5 linked regions of the Mus musculus genome follow. The protein of the gene in region 1 interacts with the protein of each later gene in a pairwise test. Links are inferred from orthologs where the notes say so. Each region holds a gene or a part of one and is shown in the gene's direction. Other genes may lie near its edges.

Region 1 (4,259 bases):
CATGTAAATTTGCTTTGAACTGGTTCCAAATTGTTTTATATTTAAGTTTTTCCCTTGACTGTGGAACTCTTCCCCAGAAACAAATAGTTCCTTTGCAAATCCTGTGTGTTTTTGTGAACACTAGACAGAGGCCCTCAAATGCTCCTAGTAAGGTTGGTGCAAGAACATCAAATGTTTGTAACTGGGAAGTGATGTTGTACACCTGGGAGAGGAGATCCAATGATGGATAATCAGATAGGATATCTTTGAGCTAGGAACTGTAACTTGGTGATAGACACCCTAGGGTTCCATCTCCAGCACCCCATATCCCATTACAAAATAATTCTTTTTCCATCTCTAGCATTAAAAAACAAAACAAAGAAGTTCTTCTTTCCTCTGAGAAACACTTCTGTGTGCCTGCTCTGAGAGGCATTTAAAAATGGCCAGGGCTTTAATCCCAGCAGGTCCAGGTCGGATTCCTGTGAATTTGAAGTCAGCCTGGTCTACTACCTATTCCAGGGCAGCCAGGGCTAAAAAAGAGAGACCTTGTCTCAATAACAAAACAATGCTGGTATGATCGCTAGAATTGCAGCAAAGAAAGGGATGTAACTAACAAGGCAAGCCATTTTTGAGAAGCAGTGATTTCACAAGTGTTAGGGATGGGCGCTGGGAGATTGCTGATGCTGGTATTTAGATGAGACCATGTGGGGTGGATTAGATTATTTTCAGGTTTCTCATGTTCAATCAAATGGCTGTACATACACATGTACACATACAATCTTTTTAGTGTAACAAACCTAGAATCAAAGTAAAGCTAACTGTAGGATTGAAGCATATTCTGAACTGAACCCTTAGGGGTGTGAAGGCCGCTTCAGGTTTCCAGAGAATCAACCGGCATTGGATGGAATAAACCAAGGGGCCAGCCCAGGGGCAGATCGGTCGAGCTCTCCGCTACTGAGCTAAGCCCTTGGGTTCTAGAGCCGGGAAGGGTCCCCAACATTGTGTTCCTCTCCCAGCCAGGAGAGCATGGGCTGCGGGAGGCGAACAGAAGGATAGCGGGGCTGACGTCGGGAGGTGGCCTCCGTGGGAAGGGACACCCGGATCTTGACACAGCCTTGGCAGCGGAGTAAGGAAGAGTAGGGATAGATTCTGGCCGCCCTCTTGGCCAGCTTCTCGCCGCCCCACCCTCCGCTAGGGCCAAGAGTAATTCATACAAAAGGAGGGATCGCCTTCGCCTGGGGAAGTCCCAGGGACCGTCGCTAAATTCTCATAACCCATAATCCCGGTACCCGCCCCACCACAGTGCGAGGAGCATGCGCTCAGGGCTGAGCGCGGGGAGAGCAGAGCACACAAGCTCATAGACCCTGGTCGTGGGGGGAGGGGCGCACTGAGCGGGGGGGGGGGGGGTGATGGGGGGGAGGACCGGGGAGCTGGCGCGGGGCAAACTGGGAAAGCGGTGTCGTGTGCTGGCTCCGCCCTCTTCCCGAGGGTGGGGGAGAACGGTATATAAGTGCGGCAGTCGCCTTGGACGTTCTTTTTCGCAACGGGTTTGCCGTCAGAACGCAGGTGAGGGGCGGGTGTGGCTTCCGCGGGCCGCCGAGCTGGAGGTCCTGCTCCGAGCGGGCCGGGCCCCGCTGTCGTCGGCGGGGATTAGCTGCGAGCATTCCCGCTTCGAGTTGCGGGCGGCGCGGGAGGCAGAGTGCGAGGCCTAGCGGCAACCCCGTAGCCTCGCCTCGTGTCCGGCTTGAGGCCTAGCGTGGTGTCCGCGCCGCCGCCGCGTGCTACTCCGGCCGCACTCTGGTCTTTTTTTTTTTGTTGTTGTTGTTGCCCTGCTGCCTTCGATTGCCGTTCAGCAATAGGGGCTAACAAAGGGAGGGTGCGGGGCTTGCTCGCCCGGAGCCCGGAGAGGTCATGGTTGGGGAGGAATGGAGGGACAGGAGTGGCGGCTGGGGCCCGCCCGCCTTCGGAGCACATGTCCGACGCCACCTGGATGGGGCGAGGCCTGGGGTTTTTCCCGAAGCAACCAGGCTGGGGTTAGCGTGCCGAGGCCATGTGGCCCCAGCACCCGGCACGATCTGGCTTGGCGGCGCCGCGTTGCCCTGCCTCCCTAACTAGGGTGAGGCCATCCCGTCCGGCACCAGTTGCGTGCGTGGAAAGATGGCCGCTCCCGGGCCCTGTTGCAAGGAGCTCAAAATGGAGGACGCGGCAGCCCGGTGGAGCGGGCGGGTGAGTCACCCACACAAAGGAAGAGGGCCTGGTCCCTCACCGGCTGCTGCTTCCTGTGACCCCGTGGTCCTATCGGCCGCAATAGTCACCTCGGGCTTTTGAGCACGGCTAGTCGCGGCGGGGGGAGGGGATGTAATGGCGTTGGAGTTTGTTCACATTTGGTGGGTGGAGACTAGTCAGGCCAGCCTGGCGCTGGAAGTCATTTTTGGAATTTGTCCCCTTGAGTTTTGAGCGGAGCTAATTCTCGGGCTTCTTAGCGGTTCAAAGGTATCTTTTAAACCCTTTTTTAGGTGTTGTGAAAACCACCGCTAATTCAAAGCAAAAATGGGAAAGGAAAAGACTCACATCAACATCGTCGTAATCGGACACGTAGATTCCGGCAAGTCCACCACAACCGGCCACCTGATCTACAAATGTGGTGGAATCGACAAGCGAACCATCGAAAAGTTTGAGAAGGAGGCTGCTGAGGCAAGTATAAGGCAAAAGGAGGGATGGGAATTCTTTAAGCAGGGAGTAGAACCTAGGTCTTGGGTGTACTAATTAGAAGTCACTTTGCAGATGGGAAAGGGCTCCTTCAAGTACGCCTGGGTCTTAGACAAACTGAAAGCTGAGCGTGAGCGTGGTATCACTATTGACATCTCCCTGTGGAAATTCGAGACCAGCAAATACTATGTGACCATCATTGATGCCCCAGGACACAGAGACTTCATCAAAAACATGATTACAGGCACATCCCAGGTGTGTAAAATTTACCCATTCCTGACTCAGGATATTTTTTAGTGGGGTGCTTTCTCTGAGATAATGGTATATGATTGTCTTGTTTCTTACAGGCTGACTGTGCTGTCCTGATTGTTGCTGCTGGTGTTGGTGAATTTGAAGCTGGTATCTCCAAGAACGGGCAGACCCGCGAGCATGCTCTTCTGGCTTACACCCTGGGTGTGAAACAGCTGATTGTTGGTGTCAACAAAATGGATTCCACCGAGCCACCATACAGTCAGAAGAGATACGAGGAAATCGTTAAGGAAGTCAGCACCTACATTAAGAAAATTGGCTACAACCCTGACACAGTAGCATTTGTGCCAATTTCTGGTTGGAATGGTGACAACATGCTGGAGCCAAGTGCTAATGTAAGTGACTTTTAAGGTAGTTGAATGGAGAAAGCCGCAATAAGTAAGGAGGTTATAATTGACTGCCTGTGTTTTAGATGCCTTGGTTCAAGGGATGGAAAGTCACCCGCAAAGATGGCAGTGCCAGTGGCACCACGCTGCTGGAAGCTTTGGATTGTATCCTACCACCAACTCGTCCAACTGACAAGCCCCTGCGACTGCCCCTCCAGGATGTCTATAAAATTGGAGGTAAGTAGAATATTAAGTAGAATGTTGACGTGAATTTGAAGTCTTATGTTTTGTGTATTAAATACTTATACAAAACAATACTATTTTAGGCATTGGCACTGTCCCTGTGGGCCGAGTGGAGACTGGTGTTCTCAAGCCTGGCATGGTGGTTACCTTTGCTCCAGTCAATGTAACAACTGAAGTCAAGTCTGTTGAAATGCACCATGAAGCTTTGAGTGAAGCTCTTCCTGGGGACAATGTGGGCTTCAATGTAAAGAACGTGTCGGTCAAAGATGTTAGACGAGGCAATGTTGCTGGTGACAGCAAAAACGACCCACCAATGGAAGCAGCTGGCTTCACTGCTCAGGTGACACATTTTTAAGATAGGTGGCTAGATTGGTTGTGTGTGCAGAATCACAAGGCAAGACTTAAATACACGCTGTTTTTCTTAGGTGATTATCCTGAACCATCCAGGCCAAATCAGTGCTGGCTACGCTCCTGTTCTGGATTGTCACACAGCCCACATAGCATGCAAGTTTGCTGAGCTTAAAGAAAAGATCGATCGTCGTTCTGGTAAGAAGCTGGAAGATGGCCCCAAGTTCCTGAAGTCTGGCGATGCTGCCATTGTTGATATGGTCCCTGGCAAGCCCATGTGTGTTGAGAGCTTCTCTGACTACCCTCCACTTGGTAAGCCTGATCTGAGTCTGCTACACTGAACAT
Region 2 (4,213 bases), on another chromosome or scaffold:
TGACGATTACTAAAACCACTGGCCGGGAATGCTCTGTGTGTGTGTGTGTGTGTACGCGCGCGCGCGCGCGCGCGCGCGAGCATACATGCATTCGGAGATTCAGAAACTGCTGCCTCTGAGCTCCAGCCATAACCTCCAAAGTTGCCTTCGCTAGGGGCTGTACATTACGAAAGTACTAAAGCTTTAATATAATTCACCTAGGACATCCACTGTGGGCAGCTAGATAAAATCTGGTTACGGCATCACACTCTGTATATGGGACCATCGTATCGTACTCGGGTGTCTGCCAGAAACTCCACAATGAACTGAGCACGTTTGATTGTGCAGATGATGGAGTTCAGCTCCGGCTCTCTTCTGGCCCAGTTGGGTGATCCCCGAAAGTCCCTTCTCTTCTAAAGGTCTAGTCCTCATGGGCCCAATGCGGGGAAAGTGCGGGATACAAAGGGATGGGTTAAAAACTTGTAGATTAGCGCGCATCAAAGGGACTCGCGGCGTACAAGCGTGAAGCATGTCCCTCCACCGACATGCCATCAGACCACCCCTTTACCTGAGTTTAGTTGCCGCTGCCAAACACGTTCACAGATCTGTAGCGCACAGCCAGTTTCCGGGGGCTAAGCTTCGCTGGCCCATTTAACGCAAGAGGGCGTGTGCTTTGACTGAGCTGACCCGCCTCAGGAGAGGCAGGAGGGGAGGAGCTTCGGGCTAGTCTATCATTGCAGGAGGAGATGCGCGCGCATCCCTGGCCAGCCCCGCCCTTTGGCCTTCCCCGATGCCGCTGCCCCTACAATTTCGAGATCGCAAAGTCTTGTCATAAGTGCAGCTCCACACAGTTCTCCTGGGTCCCCGTCTCCTGTGTCACCCAGCCATTATGTATGGCCTAGCTTTCCGCTGGACCTTCGAGGCCCTGCACCTTCCCGGATGACCCCACTTCCGTTAGCAGCATAGCCACGCCTTCCCTAGCTGCTAGTTTGGCTTCGGAGCTGGACTTTCGCAGCTTCCTCTAGGCTTTTTCCTTGGTGGGGGCCCAGCGGCAGAGAGCCCAGTAGCAGGACCAGACTGAAACTTGGGTGTTTTAGTGCGGATGCGGTGCCTTGAAAATGGGGTAGGGGCGAGTGTGGGCGTGGTGACGCACTACTTTAATCCTAGCAGACGGGAAAAAAGAGGCAGGTAGATCTCTGAGTTCGAGACCCTGGTCTTATGGGACCCTGTCTCAAAAAAAAAGTGTGTGTATAAGTGTGTGATGTTTATCAGTGAGGAGAGCTCTGGTGTTCTGCTGGCCGACGCAGGCTGGCGATCTAAGACTTTTCTTTGGAACAGAGTATGGCACTTTGGGGTTTTGATTCACTGGTTAATCTCCAAGCCTTTGAGTCTGTGTTTTACTTCCGGATCCCGCACTTACGACACCGGAAGCCGGAAGTGGAGTTTTCCACTGCAGAGAAGGGAAGGGTGACCGCCTGACTAGGACTTTCTAGGAGCTCCGGTTCTGTCGGAGCGGTCGGATCCCTCTGCTCCTGCCCTCTTCACTTCTGGCCGACTCTGCTGACAGGTGTGGTCCTCTTCTCCAAAGACAGGGCTCCATCGGTGGCTGTTTCGTAGCTTCCGAGACTCCAGAGGTCCACACCCTTCCCCCCACCTTAGGCCCAGTTTGTTCTGCCGCAAGCTTCTAATTATTCGCTACCCAGATTATTTAGGCTAGTCGGATTGAATCTGCCCTTCCCTTCACTGCAGCTGTCGCCTAAGGGCTTGGCCCCTAGTGCTAGAACTCTTTAGGTAGCAGACATTTTCTGTTGATCAAACTGTTTCTGAAACACGTTTTGCACTGTAGGCCAGGTAGACCTCGAACTCAAAGTTCTGCCTCAGCCTTTCGAGTGCTAGAGCAACAGGTGTTCGCCATCAGGCTAGGCTGTTTATCAAACTTGAGTGCATTTGAAGTCTTTAAAAAGTTTTCACGTGTACCTTCACAACTAAAGGTCTTACCTTCTGCACCTCAGTTTACTTTGCAAATGATTCATAGTAATCTGTTTGCCTGTCCTCATAACATTTATCTGACCTGAGAAGGAATGTGTTGTCTTGGCATTTCCTAGGAAAAAGGAAGGACCAGAGAGGGCAAGGGAGAATAGTTGGTGGAGAGGAAGGAAGGGAGTATAGGTGGTATAGGATCTTGTAGGCTGTTGTATGGACTTTGCTTTTTAACACTAGGAGAAATGGAAACTCTGAAAGAGTTCATGGTAGAGAAGAGAAGTAGTTTGAGTTATTTTTGAGGTAATTGGCCCCAGTGGGGCCAATTAACTGCAAAGGGCCATTGAAAAGGCAAAGCATGGTGACCCGTAAAGAGATTATTGCAGTAATGCAGGTGAAAGATGATAGCGCTGTCAGCCTTGAATTACTGAAAAAATTTAAAATGTACAAAAGTAGAAATAATAATATAGTAAATTCCATGTACACATTTCTTAGCTGTGACTATCAGCTCATAGTTAACTTTAATCCACACCCCATTACAATCCTTTACCATGATTATTTTCTTTTCTACAGAAGATGTTATTTTATGTGTATAGGTGCTTTGCTATGCTTTCCTAGTGCCCAAGGGAGTCAGAAGAAGGTTTCAGATCCCCTTGGATTGGAGTTACAGATGTTTGTGAGCCACATCTGCAACAACAAGTGCTCTTAATCCCTGAACCATTATCTCTCTTGCTCCACCCATTGCGATTTTCAATAACAGCTTTCTTGAGACATAATTGGCATGCTACAAAAATTACTATTTGTGTGTGTGCCCCCCACATGCATGCATGATGTATGATTTGTACAGGGAGCACAGGTGCCATGGCTAGAATGTGTAGAGCTCAGAGGACAACATTGAGTCAGCTATCTTCTTTCCACCTTTATATGTTCTCATGTCTCCAGGCTTGCATAGCAAGGGCCTTTATCCACTGAGCTGTCTCCCTTGCCCATACTTCAATATTTTTTTAAACAGTCTCTTCTAGATCCCTTCCCTTTGAGTTTCTAATCCCCTGGAGCTGGAGTTACAAAAGGTTGTGAGTTGCCCAACATGGGTGCTGGGAACTGAACTTGGGCTCTCTGGAAGAGCACTGAGTGCTCCTAATAGCTGAGACATCTCTCCAACTTCTTTTAAGACTTCTAGACATCCAAGTAGTTTTATAAATATCTGGAATTTAGGAATGAGAACTGTTTGGGATATTATCAACATTAAGATTTGGGTTAAAAGCCATGAGACCGGATGGAATTACTGCAGGGGTGAATGCAGTTAAGAAAGAAGTCCCAAAGTTCCTCAACGTGAAGAAGTGGGGACTCAGGAAAAGGGCCTGAGCAGCATCAGCCTTTGAGGGAGTGAGTCACCAGCAGAGAAGGCTTTTCTGGAACCTGAAGGAAGAAAGTAGGTGAAAAAGTGGGGAGGGTCAGTTGTGTGGGCTCAGGCAGATGGACCTATGGGTAGCAACACCTTTAGTATAAATAGCCAATATTCCCCAGTGTTACAGGAGGTCTCCCTTATTGAAAGCCCACTTCTGGAAACTTGCATTGAGATCATTCTCTTCCTGGTTGTCAGTATGAGGCAGGATTTACAAGGTCTCCAGGTTAGTATTGTCCTGCATATTCTCTGGTTTAAAAGCCAGCATAAGCAGATCAGGGGTCATGTGTCTCGGACACCCCAGTTCACACTTTCACACTTCTTAGAGCAAAGAAGTCACAAGAGGTCTCTATCCCCAGTGAACACTTTTCAGGTACAATGTGGTCTCCTGAAGTCTCTTTTATCATGTGTTTGTGTTTTCTTGACTCCTGTAAGAAGTGACCACAGGCCAAGTGGCTTAAAAGAACAGAAAATTGATATCTCACAGGTCTGGAGGCCAGGAGAATAAAACCAGAAGGTGAACAAGGTTATGCTTCATCTGCAAGCTGTACAAGAGTATCCTTCATGTGTCTTATAGTTGTGGGTAGCTCAGTTGTTTCTTGGCCTGTGGTTATATCAATCTAGTTGAGTAATAAGGTACTTGTTACTGGGCTCATGGCCCACCTATATAACTTGCAGTGATCTCAATTTGAGAGCCTTGATTTTTGTGAGACAGGTTCTTACTATGTAGAGCAAGCTGGCCTTGAATTCGCAGAGATTGTGCCTTCTAAGTGCTGGGATTAAAGACATGCACCACTATGCCTGGCTTGAAATCCTTAGTTTAACTACATCTGTAAAGACCATTTTTTC
Region 3 (3,662 bases), on another chromosome or scaffold:
GCCTGATGTGCAGGTCCCACGGGACAAACGATAAGTTCAGAAAGCTCTCAAGATCACTTCTAATTTTATTACGTTATCAGAAAAGAACCTCTTGAAGAAACATTTTTAAGTAGTTGAAATATTTCAAATTCTCATAAGACAAACGGATTCTTGGTCCTGGGTGGCAGGCTCCTTTCGGTCTCCAGGCCCGGGCGCCCGGTGCAGGCGTTACCCTGATTCTAAATGATGCGCATAATAGCACAGGGTTCTCGGTGCTTGGGGTGTCCCAGCTCAAACCCCCCTGAGAGGTCAACGCGAGGCAATATTTGGTGGGTGGATGAGAGGATCTGGATTTTTCTAGGTCGGCCGGTAGGCGGCGCCCTGGGAAAAACAATGTGGAACAGCCGAGTTCCCGGAGTCTGAACCCCGGAACCTCTGGGGTTTGGGGCACAGTAGCCTTGGTGTACAGCTCACTCTCGAGCTTAGCACGCGTGCATCAGAATCCCAGCAGTCAGAATAAGCCTAAGAGGTGCGCACCCAGTGGCGGGGGAGCGGCACGCTGCTCCGACCCCCACGCGCCGGGCAACCCCGCGACCCCGGCTCCCGACGGGGCTCGGCCCACCCCACCGGCGGCAGGTGGACAGTGTTGCTATGAAAGAGAAAGCGTCGATTGTCCCCACCGCGAACTGCCACACGCCAGACCTCCTCTTTTGTGTGCCCCGTATAGAAATGCAAACGAGCCGCGTGTGCCGGCAGCAATCTGCTGGTCCCTGCTGCCCGCGTCCCACAGCGATCTGCTAGGGGTAGGGGTGGGGGATGGGAGGGCTTAGACCTTGCAGCCGCGACCCCGAAAGGCGCAGAGTCCTGAGTCCCTAGTGGCAGCCTAGGCCTAATGTCAGCTGCAGTTGCAAACCTTTGACTTTAAGTTTCGGTTTCGATGTAACAACCCTATAAACTTCAAACTGAAAATTGAGGAAAAATTAGAAAGGTCGCAAAAAAAAAAAAAAAAAAAAGAGCAAAAAAAAAAAAAAAAAGAGGGGGCTTTTACATTCTCCAAGTGTGCATTCTACAAATTCCAGTATCGTATCAGCAAACAACGTACTTTTTTTTTAAACTTTTTCCTTTTAAGGACTTACAAAAAAAGAAAGGCGAGATGAAATCTGCAGGCTCCAGTCTGCCTGGTAACACCCTGACAAAAGCGGCAGATTTGAGGCTGTGTCATCCCCCGCACCCCTCCCCACGTGGCCTTCTGGCACGAGCCGCAGGCCTGCCGCCTCATTTGCATCAGAAAGCGGGCGCTGGCCAATGGGAGTGCAGCCTCCCGCCAGCTGGCGGCGGCGCGCCGAGCCTGTCTATAAAAGGGCTCTCCCGGCCCAGCCTGGCGCACTCGCTGGTGGTGGGCGCGCATCGGACTCTGGGAATCTTTACCTGCGCTCGGGTTCCCTCCGCACTCTTTTGGATAACTTGCTGTTCGTGGATCGCACAATGACTCTGGAAGAAGTCCGTGGCCAGGATACAGTTCCGGAAAGCACAGCCAGGTGGGTTTTGGGGTGCCGAGAGTTGGCCTTGTCTGGTAGTGGTCTTACAGGGTCCTCTAGGATAGAAGTTTGCAGGGTGGGAGCCGTGCACTGTCTGGCTGTGAGGTGCCGAGGCGCGGGACCAGAATTACTGCATTCGATTCGTGTCTAGAGCTAGAGTTTGGGGTGCCAGCACCTGATCGTAGTTGGGGAGCCTGATATACGGGCGCCAGATCAGAAGTAGGGAACTGGGAGTGCAGGCGCCAGGTCGAGACTGGGTGATGGGGAATGAGGGCGCCAGATCATGACTAGGGTGCCAGAGGTGTGGGCGTCAGGTCGGGACTGGGGATCCGGGTGTGTGGGCGCCAGGTCGGGACTGGGGATCCTGGTGTGTGGGCGCCAGGTTGGAGTTGGGAGGCAGGAATGCTGGCGCCAGGCAGGTCTAGGCTAAGGGGCCAGCTGGGACTTGGAGGTCAGGGCAGGGATCTCTCCGTCGCGTCCCCGTGCTGGTCCCCACTCACGGCGCTTGTTCTTTCACAGGATGCAGGGCGCCGGGAAAGCACTGCACGAACTTCTGCTGTCGGCGCAGCGCCAGGGCTGTCTGACCGCTGGCGTCTACGAGTCCGCCAAAGTCCTGAATGTGTGAGTGTAGAAAGGCCCCGCGTGCAGGGATTGGGGTTGGCGCGGCGCGGAGACCTGGGGGTGGCATCGACTCTGACCTTGTCCTTCCCATCTGCTCTGCAGGGACCCTGACAATGTGACCTTTTGCGTGCTGGCTGCCGATGAAGAAGATGAGGGCGACATAGCGCTGCAGATCCATTTCACGTTGATTCAGGCGTTCTGCTGTGAGAACGACATTGATATCGTGCGCGTGGGAGACGTGCAGAGGCTGGCGGCGATCGTGGGCGCCGACGAAGAGGGGGGCGCGCCGGGAGACCTGCATTGCATCCTCATTTCGGTGAGTGTCCCCCACTGTTTCCCTACGCCAGTCCCCCAAACCATCCTGGCCAACGACAAGCATGGCTGACCCATGTATTTTTTTTTTTTTTAAATTCAGAATCCTAATGAGGACACATGGAAGGACCCTGCCTTGGAGAAGCTCAGTTTGTTCTGCGAGGAGAGCCGCAGCTTCAACGACTGGGTGCCCAGCATCACCCTTCCCGAGTGACAGCCTGGCAGGGACCTTGGTCTGATCGACTTGGTGACACTCTAGCGCGCTGCTGGCTCTGGAGTGGCCCTCCGAGGGCGCTCGAGTGCGCGTGGAGACTGGCAGGCGATGTTGCCTGGAGAGCGAGGAGCGCGGCCTCCCAAGAAGGGGGTCTGGCGGCAGCGGGGACACCTTGTTCCGAGCCCAGGACTCTGCCAGTGTCCGGAGAGGCTGCTAGCACAGGAAGGCCTAGGCGAGGACGTTGGCCCCAGGGCCGGGAAGAACCGACCAGCGAGGCAGGTGTGACTCAGCAAGCAGCCTTCCAGTGAAAGGAGGGGAAAGAAAGGCAGGCGACCGCCTGGACTTGGTACAGCGGCAGGAGCGGCCACTGCAGGAGCGAGCTGGACTTAGCCGACTGCACTGCTCTTTCAAAAAACGGATCCCGGGCAATGCTTTCATTTTCTAAAGGACGCTATCGTGGAAGCTTTGAATATCACAATAAACTTATTGAAACAAACTTAATGCCTTTTTATTGAGGGTAGGGGATTCTAATGGGGAGGGGGCGGCGGTAAAGGATGTTTCACGGCACCTGGGACCACCTTTCTGTTGGGGCAAGAAACTGCAGCCTCCTGGGGCTGGCGGTGGGGGAGGGGGTGCAGGCGAGTAGTAAACGGGAGAACTTGGGCCAGAGTACTGTTTGAGCCTTTCAGGAAGATTTCAAACTTGCAAGACAGGAGCATACTTGATAAGGCATCCGGGTGCAGGAGCTCCAGGCTTGCAATCCAATTCGATAACAGTGACTTCTGCCTCCAGTACCTCCCCTCCCCCGCTCCGCCCCCTCCCCCCACCTTTGCCTCGACAGCTGCTTATCTGAACAGCTTGCGGGAGGCCCTGTGCCTTCCAATACAATGAGCTTGCCTCTGCAGCTCTGCCCTTGGTGCGGTGGCTGGGGATGGGGGCGGGTTGCTCTAGCTTTCAGGAACTTTCTCCTTTTAATTGCTCTGACAAAGCTACGCTAC
Region 4 (4,221 bases), on another chromosome or scaffold:
ATATTCTTTAACACCATTTAAGTATACTGGTACCTTTGGCCCCATTGTAACAGCTACAGCATCTGCTAAAAGGTCTACACCTTGAAGCATTAAGGCTCGAGCGTCCGCACCAAATTTTACATCTTTGGCATAGGCCCGAGTGAGATGAGGAGCCAGTGCCCGGGACACTGGTCTCATCTGGCGAAGGACTGTGGGTAGTCGAAGCATTTCTGGGGAAGGAAAAAAGAAAAATCACTACAAACTTGTCCAACGGTGCTTCAAAACATGGGAGGCTAGATTGGAGCTGGGCTGTCCTCTGCTAACCACCATGCCTGGGCGCTGCAGATTCAGGGCATAATCTGCTAGCCAACTGATCATGGAGGCTGACCCCAAGCCTGACCAACAGCATAAGCACAAAGCACAGAAAACCACATCCCCATGGCCACCCACTCTGCCCTCTCAAGTTAATCTTTCACTGCCAAAGCGGCCTTGGGAGCAGATCCACTCCGAAAAGTGTCCAAAGGAAAAAAATCAAGTTGGTGCAAGCAAGGCAGGTTCTAAATGCAATTGCCTAGAGAACTACAGAAGTACTCATGACGGTGCAAAACCCTCTGAGTGTGTCGCCAGGTATCCACCCGAAGCTACGGTAACACAGCAGCTAGCAAGGCCGGAGGAAAAGACAGTAGGTCAGTCCAGCCTCGCGGCCCCACGTGTCTTCCCGACCAGGAGCCCCGAGCAAGGTCAAAGTGAACACCGGACCGCCGCGGCCACCGGGGACTAAAGGACCCCGACCACCCTCCCACAGAGTCCTGCAGTGCGCCAGGCGCAGGTGGCACCAGAGGGCCCAAGTTGCTTCCACCCTAGCCCGCCCTTGCTCCGGCGCTCGGCCTGGATCGCGTGGTCCCCGCCACACGTGATGAAACCAGCGTGGCCCCGCTGGGCCTGGACAAGTGAGCCGAGCCTGCGGCGTCGCTGCCAGACTTCTCCCCCTAGTCCTCCGTGCTCGGTCCGCGCTGCAAGCAGCCCCCCGCGAGCGCCGGGGCGCCCTGCACGCCGAGGCCGCGTACCTGCGGGGCGGCGGCAGGAGAGCACGAGGCGAGGCAGGCCGTCTGCGGCGAGTGAGGGACCCAGCTCTGGGCGCGCACCGCAATGAGCCCGAGTCCCCTCCCTCCCCGCCCCGCCCCGCGGCCCCGCGTGTGCGCGCGCGCGCCCCCCGCTCTCTCCCACGCCGGGGCCCTGCAATCTGCATGCGGCGCGCGCGGCCCCGCCCTCCGTACCAGAGCCGCCTCAGCTCTGCGGCCTCAGCCCTCTCCCGCCGCCCTACGCTGGTTCCTGGGCCACGGTCCGTTCTAGAACCTTCCGGAAGGCCCCGCGCGTCCCGTGGGTGAAAGGTCAAGTGGCGTCATTTCCGGGAGGGGGGCTCGTTCTTTCACCTCGGCGGCCGGCCTGGAAAAGCCTAGAAAGTGCTCCCCTTTTCTTCCGCCTCCGGCCGCCCGCGTCGGCCCCCTTGCGCGGAGCCCTCGCCACCAATCGGCGCGCGCGTCGGCGTGGCCGCCCCCTCTCACGCTCGGGGGGCTGAGTGCGCCTGCGCGCTGCGCGGCCTTTTCACGTGTCCCAGCCGGCCAGCAGGACTCTCCTTGCAGCAGCGGCCCGAGTTCAGAGTCCGGAGCTGCGGTGGTGGCGGCGAAGGCGAGAGTCATGGTGAGTGTCTCGTGGTTGGCAGGCCTGCGGGTCCAGTTCGGCCTGCGGCCCACGGCGAACCCTTGTGCGCTTTGGGACTAATAGGACAGGGGTCCGGGGTCTGGTCAGTGTCCGGTGTCCGCCCATGGCTCTGCAGAAGCGAGGCCATTTCTCTCTCCACCATGGCTTTGCCGCACGCACGTGTGCGACAAAGCGTCTGGGGCAGGGGGCGGGAACCCGATGCACACGCAGAAGCCCACCTGCCCTGGCAGGGCTTCAGTGGATGTGTCCTATGTTGGAGAAAGACTAAGATCCAGGCTCGAAAAGTGACGCCACTCCCCCGTTATTCGAATTTTTAAAAAAATTAAAGAAATGTTTGACCTTGGAATAGATCAAGGTGGCGATTGCTGATTAGTAATGAAGACCCCCCCCCACCACCACCACCACACACACACACACACCAGACAGGGAAATGAAACTCAGTTTGTCCTATATAGAGTGGAACACTGAGTATATTCTAAAAGTACACTTGAATTTTCTTGTCCTTTTTGGAACAGGTCAGTTTTGACCTGTTGAGAGTTAAGGCTTGCGGTGGTCTTAACTGTTCGTGTTCTGACACTTCGAACTTACACTCTGTTTGATCACATTTCTCTCCACAGGCTGGACAAGCTTTTAGGAAGTTTCTTCCGCTCTTTGACAGAGTATTGGTTGAAAGGAGTGCTGCCGAAACTGTAACCAAAGGTGGCATTATGCTTCCAGAAAAGTCTCAAGGAAAAGTGTTGCAAGCAACGGTCGTGGCTGTGGGGTCAGGAGGGAAAGGAAAGGTAAACTGGTGCCCCTGGAGTGGTACTGAATTCCAGTGTGATGTGGAAGGAGGGGAATTCCTTTGGTAATTAAAAAAATGAATTACAATGGCATTTTTGGGGGGAAGAATTTCAAGTCAAATTTCAATTCACAAAGAACCTCCCATTCAGGAAAATGACTGTTTTATATTGTTTTAGAATTATTTTATGTTTCTGAAGAAAGGCAAAAGGTATTTGTGTGACGTGTTTGCACATGTCTATATGCTGTGTAGCAGGGGCATCTCCACCTTACTCCTTTGGGGTAAAGTGTTGACTAGTCTGGTTTCTGGGCCTCAACATGTTGCGGGTTACAGCCTTTTTACTCTAGTTTTAGGATCCTGGTTTGGGCTCCCCTACTTTCATAGCAAGTCTACTTACCTGTTTACCCACTGAGCTAACTCTGCAGTGCCCCAAGCTCTAGAGGCTGAAAAGTGCCTGCCTTGATGGTGGCTCATGCCTGTGGCCCAGGTTCTTTGGAGCCTAAGGCAGGTGGACTGTAGAATCTTTTTAGGCCAGCAGGAGGTACAGGATGAGACCATGTCCCAAAAAAGTAAAACAAAATCTTACAATATGAAATAACCTCTGTAGCTATTTTATATCCTGTTCTTCAAATTTTAAATAGACAAAAAGATCGCGCAAGTAGATAAACCCCCACGGCCATTTCAGAGCTGAAGGAGGTATTTATTAATAAGGCACAGAACTAATTCTAAGCACAGGTTGGGAGAAGGGTATAGTGCTGAGGTAGAAGGATCCGGAATTGATGGCCTGTCAATTTTGATATAGACCCTGTCTCCCTCTCCCTTCCCCAAAAAGAAAGGGTGAAGTGGCAGGGGTGGGGGAGCCCAGACACTGAAATAGTTTTAATCTTACACCATTGAGTTTTAGTTGGCATGAGACTTGAGAAGGGAGGTGGAACTACTGTGGGTGTTCTTTACTTAACTAAATCGCGAGAGTATTAGGGGGAGTAGACATTCCACTTCAGTCTCTTGATAGATAACAAGGGCATTCAGTCAGTAAATGTATATTAAACGGAGAAAGGTAATGCCGAATTTTTGTTGAAAGGAATCATACATGATCATTTACCGTCTGGTGGTACAAGCTGCTTTATTTTACTTGGTCTACAGGGTGTGTTAATATTTAACAGTAGAAAGTTAGCCAGCCTTAGTTGTCCACTGAAATGAAGTTTTAGTGAGTGTCTCCTTCATATTGTAACTATGCAATTCTTATATTGTAGGGATCTATATTTAATGTAAATTATATTGCTTAACCACTAATTAGGTACCTAAGAACATACTGGTTTGGGCACATTTCATTAATTTAGTGATTTAAAAGTTACAGAGTTTAATGTGACTGGTTAATGCCTATAATACAAACCTGAGGCAGGAGGCCCCTGGTGTGCATACTGAAACAAAAAGTTCACTGTGTGTCTAATGAACAAGACAAGCAGACTCTTGGCTAACAAGTGACTGTTTTCATCAGAGTGGAGAGATTGAGCCTGTCAGTGTGAAAGTTGGAGATAAAGTTCTTCTCCCAGAATATGGAGGCACCAAAGTAGTTCTAGATGACAAGGTAAGTCAAGCTAAGAATTTTTATTTTATCTATTTTTTTTTTAATTTCGGGGGAGGGGGTGGTTCAAGACTGGGTTTCTCTGTGTAGCCTTGGCTGTCCTGGAACTCACTCTGTAAACCAGGCTGGCCCCGAACTCAGAAATCCACCTGCC
Region 5 (4,164 bases), on another chromosome or scaffold:
CTTACTGTCCTGAAAAGGTATTTATAATAAATTCTGTGAAGAATCCCTGCTACATAATTCAGAATTGTATATATAGTATGTATATTGATTTTGCTTTTAAAAAACATTTCTCTACAGAGTGAGTTCCAGGACAGCCAGGGCTACACAGAGAAACCCTGTCTCGAAAAACAAAAAAAAAAAAAAAACAAAAAACAAAAAACAAAAAAAATTCAAATAATACATTTGCAAAGATAGCCATATGGAAAAGATAGTCTCCAAAATATCCTTATCAAACTATCATCTCTTCACAGTAGGACTATGAGTGGTTAGTTTATTCTAAAGTTTTTAAACCCAGGCATGTTGGTGTAATCCCAGCACTTGGGAAGTAAAAGCAGAGAGATCAATACTTCAAGGCCAGCCTCGGACACACTGCAAATTTGAGGGCAATGAGGGGTATATGAGATACTGTCTCTAAAACAGAAAAGGGAATAAAAATTTTAAAGCTCAGTTATTTTAAAGTAATAATACACGGTCTTCACTAACACCTAAAACTTAAACCTAATTTCTTCCCCCTAAAACTTCCCATGACCTAGCTATTAGAAGTATCAATGCAAATTAAATATGGCACATGGCAGTAAATCACAGGACAAAGGTGGGAGAATTCGAGGCCAACCTACGAGAACAAAGAAGGTACCAATGTTAAGATTCTGACACTTTCCCAGCACGCAGTTTGGGGTTTCAACGTGTGCCATCTCTTCCTTTAGTCCCGTGTGTGCACCCCTCCCCATCGGCCCTGTGTGATAGGTTACTTCTCCTCCGATGTTGGTGAAATGAATCAATTTAAACCAGAGTAGATGATGTTAAAGGCAGGTTTATTGGGAAGCTGCCAGCCGGTGGGTGAGTTCACTGGCCCCAAGGACCAAGGCCAGCGAAGTTTCCTGGGAAAGGAAGGAAGAAAGAGAGAAGGGGGAATGTGTGCAGAGAGAGAAAAGGAGAAGGAGACCAAAATGTCTGGATTCTATAGAAAGGAGCCCTATAGAAAGGGAAGGGCAGCCCAGCCCCTGGGCTGGAAAGTTCAGGGTTGGGGGCAAGGTATGCCAGGTGGGAACTGAGGGATGCAGAACCTGGAGGCCAGTTCTGCTTTGATAGGTAAAGTATACACCTCAGCCTCTTGACCTAGGGTCAGAAACTGAGCACTGTCTTCTTAGCGATTGGCCTATTGCATAGATGAGACCATGCCAGACCTGCTGGTTACTTTAAAATTTAAACCAGGTCTACGTCTGGTTAGGACTGGAAATTGCTTGAACCAAATCCAAAGGTTAAAAATCACTAAGTCCAAGTGCTAGGTCAGGAAAAGGCCCTGAGGCCCGACTACAGATTGCTTTGAAGGCCCAGCACCCCCAATCGAAAGCCAGCCATCACTGGTCCTGTGGTAGTAGCTATGCCTTTTCGTAAAGAGCGCGGACGCGGCGCCGCGCTGAATTTCGTCCCTCTGGAGACGCCGTCCAGGCGCCCGCCTCGGTCAAGTCACGTGATCGAGGTTTGCGGTGAAGGAGGAAGTGTTTTGCTGCGGGGTCCTGGCCTGGGGCGGACAGCCTGCGGGATGGAGGCGACTTTGGAGCAGCATTTGGAGGACACGTGAGTAGTGCGTGCGGCCGGTCCTGGGCTCCGGACAGGGGAGCTGGAATGGGACAGCGGCATGGACCGCGAGTGTCTGCGGAAGCGTTTGGGGCACTCGGGGCGGCGAGCGGGTGACTTCTGCCTACGGCCGGGCCGCTCGTTACTGGGTAGTAAAGTTTCGTTAGGCGTGTTCGCAGAATCGAGTAGCTCTTGAGAAGTTTGGGAAACGGATTAAGTTTGGGGAAGGATGCCCCGGGTGTGCTAAATCGAGCCCCCGCAGTGCCAAAGCACTTTCACGCACATCTTCCCGCGTTTGTGGCCCGTCAGTTGCTCAGCGCTTGTGAAGTAAATATATCCGTAAAGTTTTTCAGCTATCTCTGTAAAATTTAAAATTGGGAGGTGTAAAGTGGCTTACAAGAAGACACCTCCTCCTTGAGCTTCTTAATCCCCTCCAGGAGCAATTCCCGTTACTGAGATTTAACAGTTGTCTTCAGGAGTTGCAGTCCTAGAGCATGCTTCTATACCAAGGACAGAGCCCTAAAGATAACTGCCTTGTTTGTGTCTTTGTGAAGCAGAGGTGCCTGAGAAAATGGTTTGGGTTTTGTTTTGTTTATTTAAACAACTCACAGTTTGTCCTCTGAAAGGGGGCGAAAAAATTTAAGGGCTGATTTGAAGTGCTTAATACTCGGTGCATAGAAAATCTGTTTTACTACAGTAATTTGAAATATTTTCTTCACATCATCTGGTTCATCTTTCTTGTGCTCCCAAAATTAGAATGAAGAATCCATCCATTGTTGGAGTCCTATGCACAGATTCACAAGGACTTAATCTGGGCTGTAAGTGTCTCCTACCAGCCTCCCTTTGAAGTTCTGAGAGCCTTAACTTACACTGCTACTATTTTCTAGCTTTTATTCCTGTTACCTTTAGGGCATAGAGACTATCTCCAAGTAAGAGTAGATGGTTGAAGCCTTTCAGTTGCATTTTAAAGGCAGAAATGTTCCTCCCAGTTCTACAACTGTTCCTACTAAAATGGTTTTGAATAAATTTTAAGTGGTCTAGAAAAGGGCTTTAGATAAGGACATCTTTACTGAATGCATTCCCTGTGCAGGCACAGTCAGGCTACACTATTTCCTTAATTGCCTCAATAACCCTGAAAATGGATGATGCTGGCTGCTAGTCCAGCCACTCTCAACAGTAAGTTATTGTCAGTAAAAATAGGGATTTCCTAGTTAGACACGTCTGACTTCAACCCCATTCTCCGATGCTGTCTGCTAGCAACATGAGTGCCGAACAGAAGGAGCCTCTTGGGGCTTCAGTTTCTTCATTGGGTTATTTTATTTCATACATACATTATGTGTGTGTTGTCTTAAGACATTTTTTTTTAAAAACTTATTCTACGTGGCCCTGGCTGTCCTGGAACAAACTTTGTAGACCATGCTGGCCTGTAACTCACAGAGATCTGCCTGCCTCTATCCCTTGAATGCTGGGAACAAAGGTGTGCATCACCATGCCCAGCCAGGCACTATTCTTAGTGTTTTCATTATAAAACGTACATAACCCCCCTTCCTGCCCCCCCCCCCCCACCAAAGCCCTTTATGGTCAAGAAATTTAGCAAGCTTAAAAGTACCTTGCCCAGGGTCAAACACCTAATGAATGGTTGAGATAGGATGTTTTTAAAGCTGGCTCCAAAGCTTAAAACACCCAGTACAGAACCAAGATGTGTTTGTGTGGTGTTCAATAAATTGTAGCAATTACAGATAAGGAACTAAGTCCAGAAAGGTAAATAGCTAAAGTTAATTAATGTCAGAAACTAGTAAACCCAAGAATCCTTATAACTGATGCAGGTTTTTTAGAGCTCTGATCTTTTGCTGGTATGATACCTGACAAAAGTAATATAGTTATGTCTTATACAAAAAGCAGCCATTTGGAACAAAGGTAAATTTTTTTGAAGCATTTGCCAAGTTACTAATGAAAACTCTTTAAATGCAAATGTGGAGGAAAAAAAAAAACTAAGTAAAACCTTCAAGGTGCGAAGTTGCTATTTCCAATAGATTTCCGGGCTGCACTTTGGCCTACGGATTTTTTATGTAGTAATAGTCAATCCAGAATTTCTGCCAGGTTATATTGTCTACTACCTTAGTTTTAGGTGTAAGTAAACCCCTTTATTTCAGGGATCTATAATAAGCTTGGTGGTTACCTTTTGTGCCTAGAGCCTGATTTAGTTAATACAAGTCAAAGTAATAGTAAAGACTCGGGGGACATTTGAAAGGAGCCCAGCTAGCTTCTGCTAGCAGAAATAGTTGCTCACAGGTCTTCACATATGCTGGCAAGGTGATCTTACAACTGGACTTCTGAGTAATGGCTGCTTCTTTGAGATTGAGCATAGGAAGAGAAACTCAGATTTCCCATAAGGAATTAATTAGCATCAACAAGCCCCTTATCCATACTGAATGCTTTTTGTCACTCTCGCCTTTGAATTTCTTGGTTTCAGCAAGGTTCCTATAAAATAGTTACTACCATCAGATGACTTGAATTACAGCTTCCTTATATGCTTGAGAAGGTGTT

What was found.
Region 2: the proteins of Eef1a1 (region 1) and Ikbkg interact in a two-hybrid assay, tested with the Homo sapiens proteins (2 studies listed by BioGRID and IntAct, with this or other methods). The link is inferred for Mus musculus from reciprocal best matches to the Homo sapiens genes EEF1A1 and IKBKG.
Region 3: the proteins of Eef1a1 (region 1) and Gadd45g interact in a two-hybrid assay, tested with the Homo sapiens proteins (2 studies listed by BioGRID and IntAct). The link is inferred for Mus musculus from reciprocal best matches to the Homo sapiens genes EEF1A1 and GADD45G.
Region 4: the proteins of Eef1a1 (region 1) and Hspe1 interact in a two-hybrid assay, tested with the Homo sapiens proteins (2 studies listed by BioGRID and IntAct, with this or other methods). The link is inferred for Mus musculus from reciprocal best matches to the Homo sapiens genes EEF1A1 and HSPE1.
Region 5: the proteins of Eef1a1 (region 1) and Lamtor5 interact in a two-hybrid assay, tested with the Homo sapiens proteins (2 studies listed by BioGRID and IntAct). The link is inferred for Mus musculus from reciprocal best matches to the Homo sapiens genes EEF1A1 and LAMTOR5.

What each region holds. Positions count from the first base shown.
Region 1 is NC_000075.6:78,478,925-78,483,183, reverse strand, and holds the start of Eef1a1 (elongation factor 1-alpha 1), read left to right. Parts: upstream 1-1,459; 5' UTR 1,460-1,545; intron 1,546-2,495; 5' UTR 2,496-2,529; coding exon 2,530-2,673; intron 2,674-2,763; coding exon 2,764-2,943; intron 2,944-3,035; coding exon 3,036-3,332; intron 3,333-3,409; coding exon 3,410-3,560; intron 3,561-3,649; coding exon 3,650-3,906; intron 3,907-3,991; coding exon 3,992-4,226; intron 4,227-4,259. UniProt on the Homo sapiens protein: Translation elongation factor that catalyzes the GTP-dependent binding of aminoacyl-tRNA (aa-tRNA) to the A-site of ribosomes during the elongation phase of protein synthesis.
Region 2 is NC_000086.7:74,428,276-74,432,488, forward strand, and holds the start of Ikbkg (NF-kappa-B essential modulator), read left to right. Parts: upstream 1-1,405; 5' UTR 1,406-1,546; exon of another isoform or gene 1,547-3,391; intron 3,392-4,213. UniProt on the Homo sapiens protein: Regulatory subunit of the IKK core complex which phosphorylates inhibitors of NF-kappa-B thus leading to the dissociation of the inhibitor/NF-kappa-B complex and ultimately the degradation of the inhibitor.
Region 3 is NC_000079.6:51,845,316-51,848,977, forward strand, and holds Gadd45g (growth arrest and DNA damage-inducible protein GADD45 gamma), read left to right. Parts: upstream 1-1,359; 5' UTR 1,360-1,464; coding exon 1,465-1,517; intron 1,518-2,036; coding exon 2,037-2,138; intron 2,139-2,240; coding exon 2,241-2,454; intron 2,455-2,553; coding exon 2,554-2,664; 3' UTR 2,665-3,160; downstream 3,161-3,662. UniProt on the Homo sapiens protein: Involved in the regulation of growth and apoptosis. Mediates activation of stress-responsive MTK1/MEKK4 MAPKKK.
Region 4 is NC_000067.6:55,086,733-55,090,953, forward strand, and holds the start of Hspe1 (10 kDa heat shock protein, mitochondrial), read left to right. Parts: upstream 1-1,415; 5' UTR 1,416-1,677; coding exon 1,678-1,680; intron 1,681-2,318; coding exon 2,319-2,483; intron 2,484-3,980; coding exon 3,981-4,070; intron 4,071-4,221. Other genes in the region: Hspd1 (60 kDa heat shock protein, mitochondrial), read right to left, coding at 34-207. UniProt on the Homo sapiens protein: Co-chaperonin implicated in mitochondrial protein import and macromolecular assembly. Together with Hsp60, facilitates the correct folding of imported proteins.
Region 5 is NC_000069.6:107,277,497-107,281,660, forward strand, and holds the start of Lamtor5 (ragulator complex protein LAMTOR5), read left to right. Parts: upstream 1-1,361; 5' UTR 1,362-1,420; coding exon 1,421-1,617; intron 1,618-2,373; coding exon 2,374-2,435; intron 2,436-4,164. UniProt on the Homo sapiens protein: As part of the Ragulator complex it is involved in amino acid sensing and activation of mTORC1, a signaling complex promoting cell growth in response to growth factors, energy levels, and amino acids.